Drosophila melanogaster: one gene and its partner. The protein of the gene in region 1 interacts with the protein of each later gene in a pairwise test. Each region holds a gene or a part of one and is shown on either strand. Other genes may lie near its edges. The genes, in order: ninaC and ssp.

Region 1 (8,482 bases):
TGTATAATGGATATAGTTTATGAAATACTGAGAGTATTGTTGTTGCGTTTTAGATCTTAAAGTGAGAAAAGTAAATCATTTAAATGATGTAACAAAGAAGCAAGCATAATAAGCAATGTTAATTCGTCGAATTTTTCCCATTTTTATCCTACGTCAATAAAATGCAAATTAATTGCTGAATTTATATCAATGTCTTTAAAGTTAAATGTTTGAGTATGCCAAGGTAGCATTTACCTACAAATAACCTAAATAATTAAGTGGTTTATAGAGATAGAAAAATGAAATGCGGTAAGAAAAAAGTGAAAATTTAAATAACGATTTATCCCAAGACATTTTATTTATTCCATTGTGTGAAACGTTTTTGAGAAAGTGATGAAGAAAACTTCAATCATTATTTTGGAATTTTAGGTGGGTTTTAGCTAAATTGTCTTATGGTTTGCATAACAATTAATTTTAATATTTTTACTCTTAATCACTAGTTTTAGATATCGACGGCATAGCCTGAAAGAGTGATTCCAGGTGCAATCTCCTCTTCTACATAGGATCCTGCCTCCTCGAAGGATCTAGCATTGCTATCTTCGAAGCTGCGACCCACGCTGGCTGGAGATTGTCTCAAGGTCGGAGCCCTCTGCTGCTGGCCAAACTTCCTAGACACACCATAGTTTCCCGATGATGAATTATAGCCCTCATCGTCTTGGTACCGGCGACCTGTCGAGCGTAGCTTGGGCGGCTGGAACGTGTGTTGGTCACCACTGTCCGATCCGCGGCGATTGTTAAAGTCATAGGTGTTGGTCTCGGATCCCCTCGGATAGTTAGTCTTGCGCAGCATAGCCTTGAAGTTGAATGGTGGATCCTCAGAGTTCTGGAAAGAAAATATCTGAAGAATTTCCTTAGGAAATTGACATACACTTACATCACCCTCGTTGCGAGCCATGTTCTGAAGTTCTCTAACTGGATCCGACGGAGGATACGAGGATCTTTGCTGATAGTTGCGTTGCTGCTGGTTCGGATTATTGCGATAATAGTTGGATGAGGGCATTGGTGGAGGAGGAGGTGGAGGCGCCGCATAGCCCTTCAAGGAGTTGCGCCTGGATCCGGATCGATGTACGCCCCAGTTCTGGTTGTTATAGTTGCTGTTATAGCTGTTGTAGGCATTGTTATAGGCATTCATGTTCATCTGCATTTGATTTCTGAAAAAAAGTGTTAGAAACTTAAGTTCAACCTTTGAGTATCTTTGCTAACCTCCTCAGCTGTTGGGGATCTCGGAAGTAGCCCTGATTGTAGATATTGTCGCTCTCGCCCATGCGATCCCAGTTGGTCTGGCAAGCCTGCTCCTTCTTATAGGCATTGTAGGTCAGGGCACAAGAAGTCATCGAAGGATTGCGTTGCAGAGGGCTGTCCCAAGGCTCATCGTCCTCCATGTGCTGCGTTAGTAGCTGATTGGGGAAGGCTTGGCGGGAAATGGAATTGGCCGGGTCCACCATATACTGGGTGTCATAGAAGGGTATCTGATCCAGGCGGAATGGCATCTTTTTTATGGGCACTGGCAGTGGTCCTAGCTGCGAGGAGTTCACTTCGCGCATATTGATCCTCTCGAAGGGCACAGCCCGAGTACATTTATTCAAGCCAGCCACCATTCGTTGGTTGTAGATGTGGACCTGGTACATAATATAATATATATATATATATATATTGGATTTGAAGATAAGAGATTTGAACTCACCTGCTGTGAGAGATTGACAAAGTCCTGGAAGCGAGCCGCGCGGTAGTGCAGGAGGACCTGGAAGATAGACTTCTCGCGCCATTTCTTGGCAAACGGACGGATAAAGTCGGCGGTGTTCTCGTTTAGTTGGCCGGACTTCTCGTTGACCAGCGGAGGGAGGCGGACGCGGTCGCGGAATCCCCTGAAGGCTGTGGGAAAATGGAAACGGAGGAAGGCCGTTAGAGTAACCCATTTGAAAAGCGGTCGCGGCGGTGGACGGTGGTGGTGAATGAGAGGGAAGTCACCTTAATTTAATTAAATTTTCATTTCTTTTCTACGCAGCACTTATAATTCATCTCTTTTCGCAGGGGCCGTCGATGTTAAGTGTTATGTCTCAGACAGCTATAAGCCGATTGGTTGCATCAGATGGAGAACACAACCGCCCAGCGGGATGGGGTGGGATGGTATCCACATTGGACACCACTAAGCGGCTTAAGTGGTTTGCCGAGGCCCTAGACTAGATGATAGCTGGTTGTTTGCGTTTTCTACATTTTATTGGTAGTCGTATTACGATTAGTATCGATCGATATAGTGATATAGTGTGTATAAATGGTATATAGTAGGGGCCTATTCCTCGGCGGAGGCCTGCTCGATTTTGGCTATTCGCACCGCTGCCAGAGCCTCATCCATTCTGGCCTCGAGGAACATCTCCTCCGCCTCCGAGGGCGTCTCGCTTATGTCGATGTGCTCCTCGTCGTACTCTCTTAGCCTATCCACCTGCGTTTTTTTACCTTTTTGTATTTTGGACGCGGCCACATCATGATGCTCCGGTCCCTTTTTGCCCACTAATAGGGAATTTAAAATTAGATTTCATACCATATACTGTATAAGTATTATTTATATCTTACATTTGAAAACTTTGCCGCCCTTAACTCGTTTCCGTGCTAGCAAAGCTCGCATCATGGACTGCACTTTGATGACCTTCTTCACCTGCAGCTCATACAATCTGAAAGCAATTGATAGTACTTGCTTTTCTCAATGCGTATGAATTGATAGCTCACCTGGCTAAGAACTCATCGTTATAGTAGCGCAAAAACACCTTGGTCTTGCCCAAGGCCCAGCCTTCCATCTTGAGGCGCAAGAATAATAGACGACAGTTATCCTTGGTCATTTCCACGGGCTCATCAAAGTCAAAGGCAAGGAATTGGTATCTAATACGAATATTTTAAATATTTAGAAATCTTTAAATGGAAACTGGAATGGAATCGATTACCCACCGCCTTAGGAACTCGTCGAATGGCAGACGCGAGCTGAATCCCTTCTGGCGAGCAATAACAGTGTCCAGAACTCCCAAGGCCTTCATCTGTTGCTGGACGACATCCGAGTGGAAGGATCTGGGCTTGTACTCCAGATCAGCGCGAATGCAGCGAACGAAGTGCACGCCGAGATTTGCATTCTGGCTTAGCATTTTGAGCAGGGTCAGGCAGGTGAAGCGGAAGTTGGCCGCCAGGGTACGTAGATTGTTCACTTGGGAGATGCATCCGGCACTTAGGGTATTCAAGGCCTGAAATGCATAGTTTACAAAAATATACCAAATTTAGGTTAGCTAATAAAAACTGTGACAGACTTACATATGACTTCCGTTCAGATTCATCCTTATGCTGCACTGCCTCGAATGGCATGGTGAGATTGCCAGCCTTGGTCAGTTGATTGGTGAACATGAGCATGATGCTCTCATCCAGCGAGGAGCGGAAGGTCTCGATCATTTCCGGCGGCACAAAGTCCCGGTTGATGTCGGTGAAGGCGCGCGTATCATAGATGATGCGGCCCGTGTAATGAGCCACGGATATTTCAGTGGCAGTGTGCTTCTTCACAAACTGGCTGTGCTTCTCCGAAACGCGATCTGTAGATGGAAAGTGGTTAAATCACATATCCAAAGTGGTGCCAGAATTGGTTGTATACCCATAATCAAATCCTGATCTTGACAGGAGCGTGAGGCATCGTCAATGATGTAGAACAGGCCATCCGGTTTGGTTAGCAGATTATCCAGAGCTGTCTTGTTGTCATAGAAATTCAAGTTGATGGTGTCAATGTCTTCAGCTTCCATTTCCAGCATTTCGCTGATAAAAATACGTTGATTGTAGTGATATTGCATTTGCTCGTTTAGAGTATTGATCATTAGTTGCTCCAGACCATTTCGATTAAAGCACTCAAATCCAAACATGTCGTGAATAATGATGGCATTTGTGTCTCCGCTTAAAAAGTTATTTAAGCCACATTGTTAAACTTATGAATTTGTAACTTTTTTTTTAATATTACTTACAACACAGCCCGTGGGAAGGACATGTTCATGTTAATCCTGTTGATGATAAAGTCCACCAATCGAGAGTAGAGCGTGCTGGCCACCGCATCGCGTGCATCCCTAGCTTCTTCAGTGGTGTACTGTCGCCTCTCGGCGATCCCGCCCTTGACCATAATGAAGTTGGTCAGAGACCACATGAACTTTTTCTCATCCACACGGAGGAGCTCGGCGATCCGGGACACAATGTCCGTGTTCTCCACTTCCGCATACTTTCCGTTCTGCCGGAAACGGATGTTGCCAATGTTCAAAATGGCAGCCAAAACTTTGCGAACGGTCTCCAATTGCTTGTGATTGAAATCAATGTCCCGCAGGATGTTCTCGAACTCCCTGTACCTCTCCACATTGCCCTCGGGATCATCACGACGATACTTGAGTTTCGATGGCGGAACCTCTGGCGGAACTCGCAGATAACGATAATTGCGATCAGCCTTCAGATTGTACTCCTTAAGCTGATTTTGCTGATTAATAAAGTCGTAGAAGTAGTAGAAGATGTGGAAGTTGTGCTGGGTTCCGTCCGTAGTGGCCACTCGTAGTTTCTCCAGCATATACATATTAAAAACGGCCCCACTCATTTTGCCGGTTTTTCCAAAGGTCAAGCAATATTGTAGGACACATCTTGTGGAGTCGTTGTTTACCGGAGTTCCTGCATTCACCAACATCAGGATGGCCTTGATGGAGCTCTCCACGCGCCCGGTGGCCCCACGATTTCCATCACCCAAGTAGCACAGATGCTTGATTAGCAGCCGGGCATTTGTGGACTTGCCCGAGTAGCTCTCTCCGGAGAGCACGATGTGTTGCGGCTCCTTATGATGCAGCATATCCTGGTAGGCGATATCGGCCACCGAGAAAATATGCGGCTGGTTTTCCGAACGCGACTTGAAGCGATACTTGGCATGGAACTAGAGAAAGGATAAATATAACATATTTAAGTATACATATTAGATGTTTTCAACTTACCTCCTGCGGAAATTCCTGCTTGATTTCATTGGAATTCAAGGATAAAAGGATATCGCCAATGAAACTGTACGATTCCCCCATCAAAATGCGATGACGCAGTGACTCGATTATGTTTTCATCCACGGGATTTTCCAAGGCAGCCAAGTCCTCCGGATACATCTTTTCCGGCTTCTCATCGAACCTCTTCACATAGCCGCGGTCCACGAACAATTCCGGCTCCTTGTACAAAGTCTTTACATCCCTAGAGAGTTCCAACATTTCTGCGATGTCCGATCGCATCTCGTCCTCGTTTTCGATGAGCTCCGTGAGGAATGGATGCTCCACCATCTCAACCATCATGGGCCGATTTTCGGCATTTTTCTCCAAACTCTCGGATATAAAATCATTGATCTGCTGCGACCAATTAGTGGGTCGCATTAAGGTCGGCGGTGGATTGCGAATGATCTGGAACATGGCCCTAGTGGGATGCATGTCAGCGAACGGTGGCTTTCCATCGGCCAACTCAATGGTAGTGATTCCCAAGGCCCAGACATCGGCACGAACGGTGATGTCCGGTTCGCGGGATTCCATGGCGGACACCACTTCGGGAGCCATCCAGCAGGGAGATCCAATGCAGGTGCCCCTCTTGCCCAGAGTGGAATCCACCTGACGGGATAAACCGAAATCGCACAGCTTGACCCGTCCATTTTTGGTCAACAATATGTTATCTCCCCGAATGTCCCGATGCAGGACATGATTACGGTTCAGCTCGATGGCAGCACGGCAAGTCTCCCGGATAATGTAGGCGATGTGCTCCTCTCGCATTCGACGATCCAGTTTCAAAAGCTTGTTAACCATGTCCACTGCTGTTCCCCCAGCGCAGTACTGAAATATTCAAATGGTTTATATAAATTACAAAAAATTGGATTTAAATTTTTGGAAAAAATTTAATAAAATATTAACAAAATGTTTTGACTCACCTCCATGACAAACCAGATCTCATCAGGTCCGTTTGGCTTCGACAGCTTGTAGACGCCATAGAACTCGGGAAGATTGGGATGGTCGCAGTAGTCCCGCAGAGTGCGATACTCCTCCTCGATGGAAACCTGGTGCTCCTCATCGTAGTGCTGAATCTTCAGGGCAACGATCCGATCATTGTCGAGCTCCTTGGCCCGAAAAACCTTGGCATTGACGCCTTGGGCTATCTCCTCGTAGATCTCGAATTTATCCGTAGGATCCGGCAATTGCGCGTACGGTAAATACATCATGACTTAGATGCTTATTCTGAATATTCGAAGAACATGTGGGTTAAACTTGGGAATTGGGTCTATCATAAAATGGGCTTCAAAGGTTTTCTTTTTCAATTTTCCCTCATGCAAATCGCATTATATTTGGGTTCATTGTTGCAAAACACTTAAGAATGGGCATTCTAGAGGTTTCATTGTAATCTTTTGCTTCTAATAACAATTTGCTTTTTCTTTAAAGGTGAAAGTTAAGTTACTTTGGTTTACTTAACGTAAGGATATTTTGGAATGTTTGCTTTGCAAGCACGAAAGATTTCAAGGACCTTTAAACAAATAAGATGCAATTTTGAAATGTAAAATTATAATAAAACCATTTTCTATAAAACACTTAAATAATTCATGTGAAAACGAAAAAGTTAAATGTACGATTTATCCTTGGTAATTAATCCTTCCTAGGTTTGTATTTTGAATCAGCAACTTTGGATAAAGGGATTCTAGGGGGTTATTTGTATTATATCCACTTCACAGGGCTTCAAACACTTAATCCTTCAGGACACACCTTCGCTGCCGCAGATTGGCACACTTATCCTGCAGCTGTGTATTTTTGGTTGCAAGGATGTACTTGTGTGGAACTTCGAACCGACCGCACGCATGCAGCACGTACCGCTGCCGTTAGCCAACTAAATGATGGGCCAATGCAATCGGAGGCTTTTCACTGGCAAGGAAGGAAGCCATTCAATGGGCAGTACCTGGGTGCACACCTTGGACAACTATTTAGCTGGCTAATTCAATTAGCGGCGGCGACATTCACGTGCAAGTGAAAAAAGCGGCGACACAGATGGCCAAAATGCCGAGGTGAAAGGGAAATTGGCAATGCGAGTGAAAGTCAGCTGATTGACAGACTAATTATGCATCTTATTGTTCGTATTTACAAAATATATTTATACGTATTCCAAATGGCTGGAGATTGCTAAACTAGGCATTGCATTCACACACGTTGTTTATTGATGTTTGCCCTATTGCGTACTTTATGTTTTTTTTTCTGTAATACTGATTTCTTTGTGTGTTAAGTTCTGTGAGAATGAAGAAAAGTCTTTTCTTATGCATGTGGCTGAGGCTCCATCGCTCCATCACTTCATCGTCCTTCGTCTTGCGTCCATTGTCCTTAATTGCATATGCTAATCCATTCCTCTACGTGGCACTCCTCGCACTCCACATTACAGCACCATTGGAATTTACAGTGACACCGCTCCGCCCTCCGCTGGATGACCTGGCTGTGGCCACGGCCACAGCAGAGGGAGGTGCATCCGTCGCTGGTCGTGGTGTTCCGATTGCACTTGCGTCCCACGGTGCCTGTGCGGAAATTGGCTCAGATTAGTCATGTTTATGTTTTTCTAAAGATATAATCATCAGAAAAGAAAATTATGTGGTATCTATTAAAATATAAAAATAACAAGTTAATAAAATTAGTGGTGTAAGATTTGCGTAATTAGCAAATGATTAAGTGTTCTCATCAAATGCAATCCATCGCCAAATGGCAGTTAATCCCGCCTACTGGCGGACAAGCAATTAAAAGACCATAAATAAACTATTAAACTAAAGCACAAACAAAGTATCATAATTGTTTGGCCGACGATAATTGCCAGCGTTAATTGCTATCATTTGAATAGACACGACACCGGACACGGACACATGAATCAAAACGCCCGATGGGCTGGCTGCTCCCCAGTTCACTGCTGTTGGAGCCTGAGTTGGAGCTTGAAGTGAAGCTGGAGTTACCGGGCTAAGCCGACGATTAATTATAAATTTGCGTCGTAATTAACACTTTTAAACTGCTGGCAGTTGGCGGGGCAGCAGCGACGCTTGATAATTTGCAAATGTGTCAACAGCAAAATGGCTAACGAAAATTGCAAGTGGCAGTTAGACGTCGATTTCGATGTGAACGTGCCGCAGTTTCGACCGATCCCCCAAGCCAGAGTACAAGCAAGGGGGGAGAAATGAGGGGATACAATTAACCCAAACTCATTTCCAAGCATAAAAAGTAACGATTTTCTTTTAGTATGTTTCGGCCAATTGTAGTTTAGATAACATATCAAAAACCTTTATTTTAAGAATGTCAAATAAGAACCCCCCTCAGATTTTCAGTCTCCGCCACTGCTTTATACAATCCAAACTGAGTTGAGCTGATCCGAACCAATCCAATCCGATCCGATCCAAACTGAGCTAAGCTAAGCTGAG
Region 2 (4,662 bases), on another chromosome or scaffold:
GAGCTATAAGCCAAACAAGAGGACTTTGATACATTTAACTTAAATCGCGTTTGATTTACTGATAACGTTTACTTTAACAATATCCAAATTACGAACATTTGAAGTCTTAACTAATAAAAACTTTTAAATTGCCCGCCATTTTAACCAGGGCTGCGTATTAATGTTAAATTATCGATAAGCCAAACCAATAAACAGTGTTCAAAAACTTCACTAACTGCAACAATCGATATTACTGCACATCTATCGACTCTTGTTGCATCTCTAGGACAACAGGAACAGGAATTACAAAAGATATTTTTCCACCAATTATCAAAATAAAAACACAACAATTCACGCTATCTAGCGCTGGACACAAAAGACCGCAACGTAATGCCGTCCAGAAATATTGACGATGCCGCCGGCGCCAAGGAGGTTCACCGAAGTACAAGGAATTCACTGATCGGCCCGAAGAGCAAGCGAATCGCCCTAAACAGTCGCAATCGCAGTCTTGCTGCCGCCGAAAAGAAAACTCAGTCGCAGCTGTCATTCCCGCCAAAATCGGAGTACGAGAAGTTCTACGAGACCGTCTTCCTGGCGGAGGATTTGCAGCCGGAGGAAGTGAGTCCATCGCCCCACATGGGTTGTTGGGGTACTTACCCGGTTTTACCGAGTACAGCCACACACCAAATATCTTGTTTACCTATCCCACATGGGTGGCAATAGACCTGTTTACCTTTTCATAATGTGTTTTGGCACTACAAAGCGAGATTCGTTAAAACATGTGATAGGATATCAAATTTGACCTAATTTCTGTATGAAAGTCCACTTCAGTTACATAGTCCAACATGGACCACTAGCGAACATACTAAAATTCTAATTAATCACTCAGTAACCATGCTTCTAAACCAACTAACTCTTCTAGAATATAACACCAGAACGTCGTAAGCCAGGACCGCGCATGAAGAGCTCACTCCAAGCCCTGTTGAGCGATGAAGGATCACCGACGGGACCACAGCGAACCGCCAAGATAAACGTTGCACAGAAAATGGTCGTTGAGCCAGCGATCCGAGCCAATGGCATCTCGCCATTGCCCAAGAATGTTGGCAAGGAGGAAAAGTTTGAGGACTACTATACGAAAACGGAGCGACACGTTTGGAAAAAGGATGCGGAGAAGATGTTGCTGCAACTGTGGGCACAGCATTTGAAGGATTTTCGTGGAGAGTCCAAGAATGTGATCATCTACCGGCAAATGGCTAGGGAGATGAGTCAGTTTGGGCCCAGCCACACGGAGCTTAAAACCAAAATGGACAATTTGTCGCGAAAGTATAGGTGCGCTCTTATATTTTGCATACCAAAAGTTTTTATTTTTATAGTATATTAACTTTTATATTGGTATTTACAGAATAGAAGCTGAGAGAGTTCGGGAAACTGGAGTGCCATCCAAGTGGGAGCACTTTCATAAGCTTCAAGCACTTCTGATTGGCACGAAATCAGTTGATGTCTTCGAAGATATTACCGCCGAAAATCCAGGTAAAGTCGTAGTGCAATAAATGCTAGTTATGTCATTATGTCTTAAAAATACGCTAATTTTACAGCTCAAGCTTTGTTCAGCGATGAGGATTATGAGCCTGAGGAATTGTCTTCATTAAAAGACGAGCCTATGGCCGGGGACGATGGGAACGTATTCGAAAGTGATATGGTTGCTAGCAAAGCCATGAAAAGAACGCGAACTCCCTCTCCCAGTATTCCGGAAATCCCGGAAGAAGACGAGGAGGAGGAGGAGGAGGAGGAGGATGATGACCACATGAAGGATCTCTCCCCATCGCCAATTTCAAAATGTCAGACAAAACGGAAAGCATCGAACAACCATTCGGACAGACTCCTTGAAATAGAGGAGGAAAAACTGGCGATCGAGCGAGAAAAGCTGCAGGTTATGAAGGATGCACTGCTGGAGCTAAACGCATTTCACAAAGATATTGTTTATTTGCTTAAGCATAACAATCAGTAGTGTAAATATTAAGTGTTATACGTAGAAGTAGCGTGGTGTTACTTTTTCAGCAAAATATACAACTAAAACAGTGAATATTTAATGTAATATTGCTTCAACTTCAAATTAATCTAAATATATATATATATATTGTAAAAAGCTAGATTTTGCATTGTTATGATCTTACAAATTAGTTTCTTAAGTAAAAATAAATGCAATGAAATTATATTTTACTTTTTTTAGCAAAACTTTAATTACTTACTTTACTTTAATATTATAAATTTGTTTTAAATCGTATTTGTTACATTTAGTTTCTCAATTCGTAAAATGTTTTTTTATTTGTATTTTAGATATAATTTAAATCGATATCATAGAACTATCGATAGATATATGAAGCCAATACCGACCATTTCTAGAAAAATCGATATCGAGCTGCTGCCCATCTCTAGGCACATTTTGTTTATACTTTTCGAGCGTAAGGACGACATGATTGAGGCCCGCACGATGCAGGACGTATCAAAATTCGAATCCAACCAGGTGATCTCGGCGAAGGTGCTCCGCGGCGAGTACCGGCTACTACGACGCAAGCAGCGCGGCTCCGTGTGGAAGGTGTATCGGGAAATCGTGCGCACCGATGGTGCCATAATCAATGGACTCTACTTCTGCACGGGCTGCAAGCGCGTCATGCGATCCTTCAACACGTCCAATCTGCGCACCCACAAGTGCCATGTGGACTACCTGCGTACCGAGGAACTGTGCGAGGAGGGGATCGCGGAAATCCATCCCCCTAAACTAGACGTACGTACAACGACGCCATTAGAAGTCAATAGTAGTCCAAATTACCATGTCTCACTTGCAGGATTCGTTGGAGCGCCGCCTGAGCTGGAACTCCTTTCAGCCGTCCGAGTGGTCATTCCACGCGGTCGAACTGCTGCTCGAGCTTTGGGCAAGGCACTGCGTCGATTTGCGAGACTCACGCAAGCGGGTCCAGGTTATCTGGAAAATGACGGGCGAGATGAAGTCACTGGGTTTCACGTTCACGGAGATAAAGAACAAAATTGATGACATGGGCCAACAGTATCGGTAATAAGTGAATATACTTATTTAAGCATATTCCTTATCTAATATTACAATTTATTTCAGGCGAGAATCGCACATGGAAAAGACAACTGGACACAAATCCCAGTGGGAATACTTCGAGACCATGAAGATGATATTTAGTTCCGATCGTAACATAATTGACAATATGCCTCTGGATAAGTCTGGAAGTGCACCCAATACGACCAGCGAACACAATTCATTTGGCAGTCAACTTGACGAACCATTGATAGATAGGAACTACTTAAGGTCCCAAAAAGTACACCCTGGAGAAGGGGATAGCTTCGATATGAACGAATATGCGGATGAAGCACAAGAAGACGTGGATGAACTGCGTATTCTGAAGGATAACATAATCAGGGAAATCGAAGAGTCGTCCACAGTTCATTCCCAGGAAAACTATGAAGACGAGCTCGATCAACAGAATTCCAAGACCGAGGACATGAAAATTGCTAAGCGTCAAAGAGCTGCCAGAATTATGGAAATAGAGGAGGAAAAGCTGGTCATAGAGAGGAAAAAATGCAAACTGATGAAATTTTTCGTGCGAGAGATGTCGTCGTTTCATAAGGACTTCATGGATCTTCTATCTAATCCCAAAGGCGGCGCACATGCATAAATACCTGTTCGCGATTTGAGTGATTGCACAATAAAGTTCATTTCCACCGTTATTAACGTAAACTTAAAAGGCATCACATTCAACGAATTTTTAAAAAAATCATGTAACAGAAAGTTTAAATATCTCATTTCGGCAGTCACTCAATTTTTTATTTCAAATACGAATAAGTATAAAATGATTTGTGATTCATTGCGTTTTATTACAATTCAGCAGATATGTTTAAGATTTAATAAAATGAAGTCGTAATATCTTCGCCGTTTATATAATTTATTTATATATAAACCATGTATATCTGAAATTTGAAACGAAAAGTAGTGAAATAACTATTAATTTGATTGGTTTTAGAATATTTGTTGTAGATGACATTATATGTATTTTATTTTTTTAATTGTGTGGTTAATATTTTTTCTTTTCCTATTAAATTAAATTCGATACATGGTATTACATAGAATGTCGATATCGATTGTAATCGAACATCGCAACCAACTCACCGGTGATGCCACCTGGTTCGGAGCTCTGTGTTTTTAATTTTTTTTACTATGACCATAAGGATTGCGAGGCGAAATATGTTTTTCATACACGCCCCCGAGGAGGAGAAGTGCATGGAGGCGCAGCTGGACATCCTTATGAAGATCAACTCCGGTGAATATCGGCTGGTGAAGAAGAACAAGCGCAGTTCCGTTTGGAACGTCTACCGGGAAATCGCTCGTCCGGACGGCACCAAGTTGAAATGGCGATACTTCTGCATGGGCTGCAAGCGTGTGATGCAGAGCACCGGCGGCACCACCTCCAATCTGCGCATCCACAAGTGCCACGTACGGTATATCAAGCAGAACGGCCATCTCACCGACGGCAGTCACTCCTACGACCATGATCCCGCGCCACCAGCTAGCCAACCGTCGCCGCGCGTCCAGAAACCGAAGACCAGGCGGCCGACATCCTATTCTACGCAGTGTGAGCAGTTCTATGAGGTCACCATGGA

The links.
Region 2: the proteins of ninaC (region 1) and ssp interact in a two-hybrid assay, tested with the Drosophila melanogaster proteins (one large-scale study listed by BioGRID).

What each region holds. Positions count from the first base shown.
Region 1 is NT_033779.5:7,376,187-7,384,668, reverse strand, and holds ninaC (neither inactivation nor afterpotential C), read right to left. Parts: upstream 6,968-8,482; 5' UTR 6,804-6,967; intron 6,285-6,803; 5' UTR 6,269-6,284; coding exon 5,981-6,268; intron 5,886-5,980; coding exon 5,022-5,885; intron 4,964-5,021; coding exon 4,026-4,963; intron 3,958-4,025; coding exon 3,665-3,957; intron 3,606-3,664; coding exon 3,334-3,605; intron 3,267-3,333; coding exon 2,980-3,266; intron 2,914-2,979; coding exon 2,764-2,913; intron 2,709-2,763; coding exon 2,611-2,708; intron 2,548-2,610; coding exon 2,494-2,547; coding exon of another isoform or gene 2,330-2,493; exon of another isoform or gene 1,912-2,329; coding exon 1,724-1,911; intron 1,659-1,723; coding exon 1,243-1,658; intron 1,191-1,242; coding exon 914-1,190; intron 863-913; coding exon 482-862; 3' UTR 325-481; downstream 1-324. Other genes in the region: Wnt10 (Wnt oncogene analog 10), read right to left, coding at 7,410-7,597. UniProt on the Drosophila melanogaster protein: Required for photoreceptor cell function. The ninaC proteins combines putative serine/threonine-protein kinase and myosin activities. Essential for the expression and stability of the rtp protein in the photoreceptors.
Region 2 is NT_037436.4:12,115,863-12,120,524, forward strand, and holds ssp (sunspot), read left to right. Parts: upstream 1-2,394; 5' UTR 2,395-2,452; coding exon 2,453-2,764; intron 2,765-2,825; coding exon 2,826-3,049; intron 3,050-3,109; coding exon 3,110-3,680; 3' UTR 3,681-3,927; downstream 3,928-4,662. Other genes in the region: vers (versatile), read left to right, coding at 370-597, 902-1,308, 1,382-1,509, 1,575-1,987; CG11560 (uncharacterized protein), read left to right, coding at 4,220-4,662.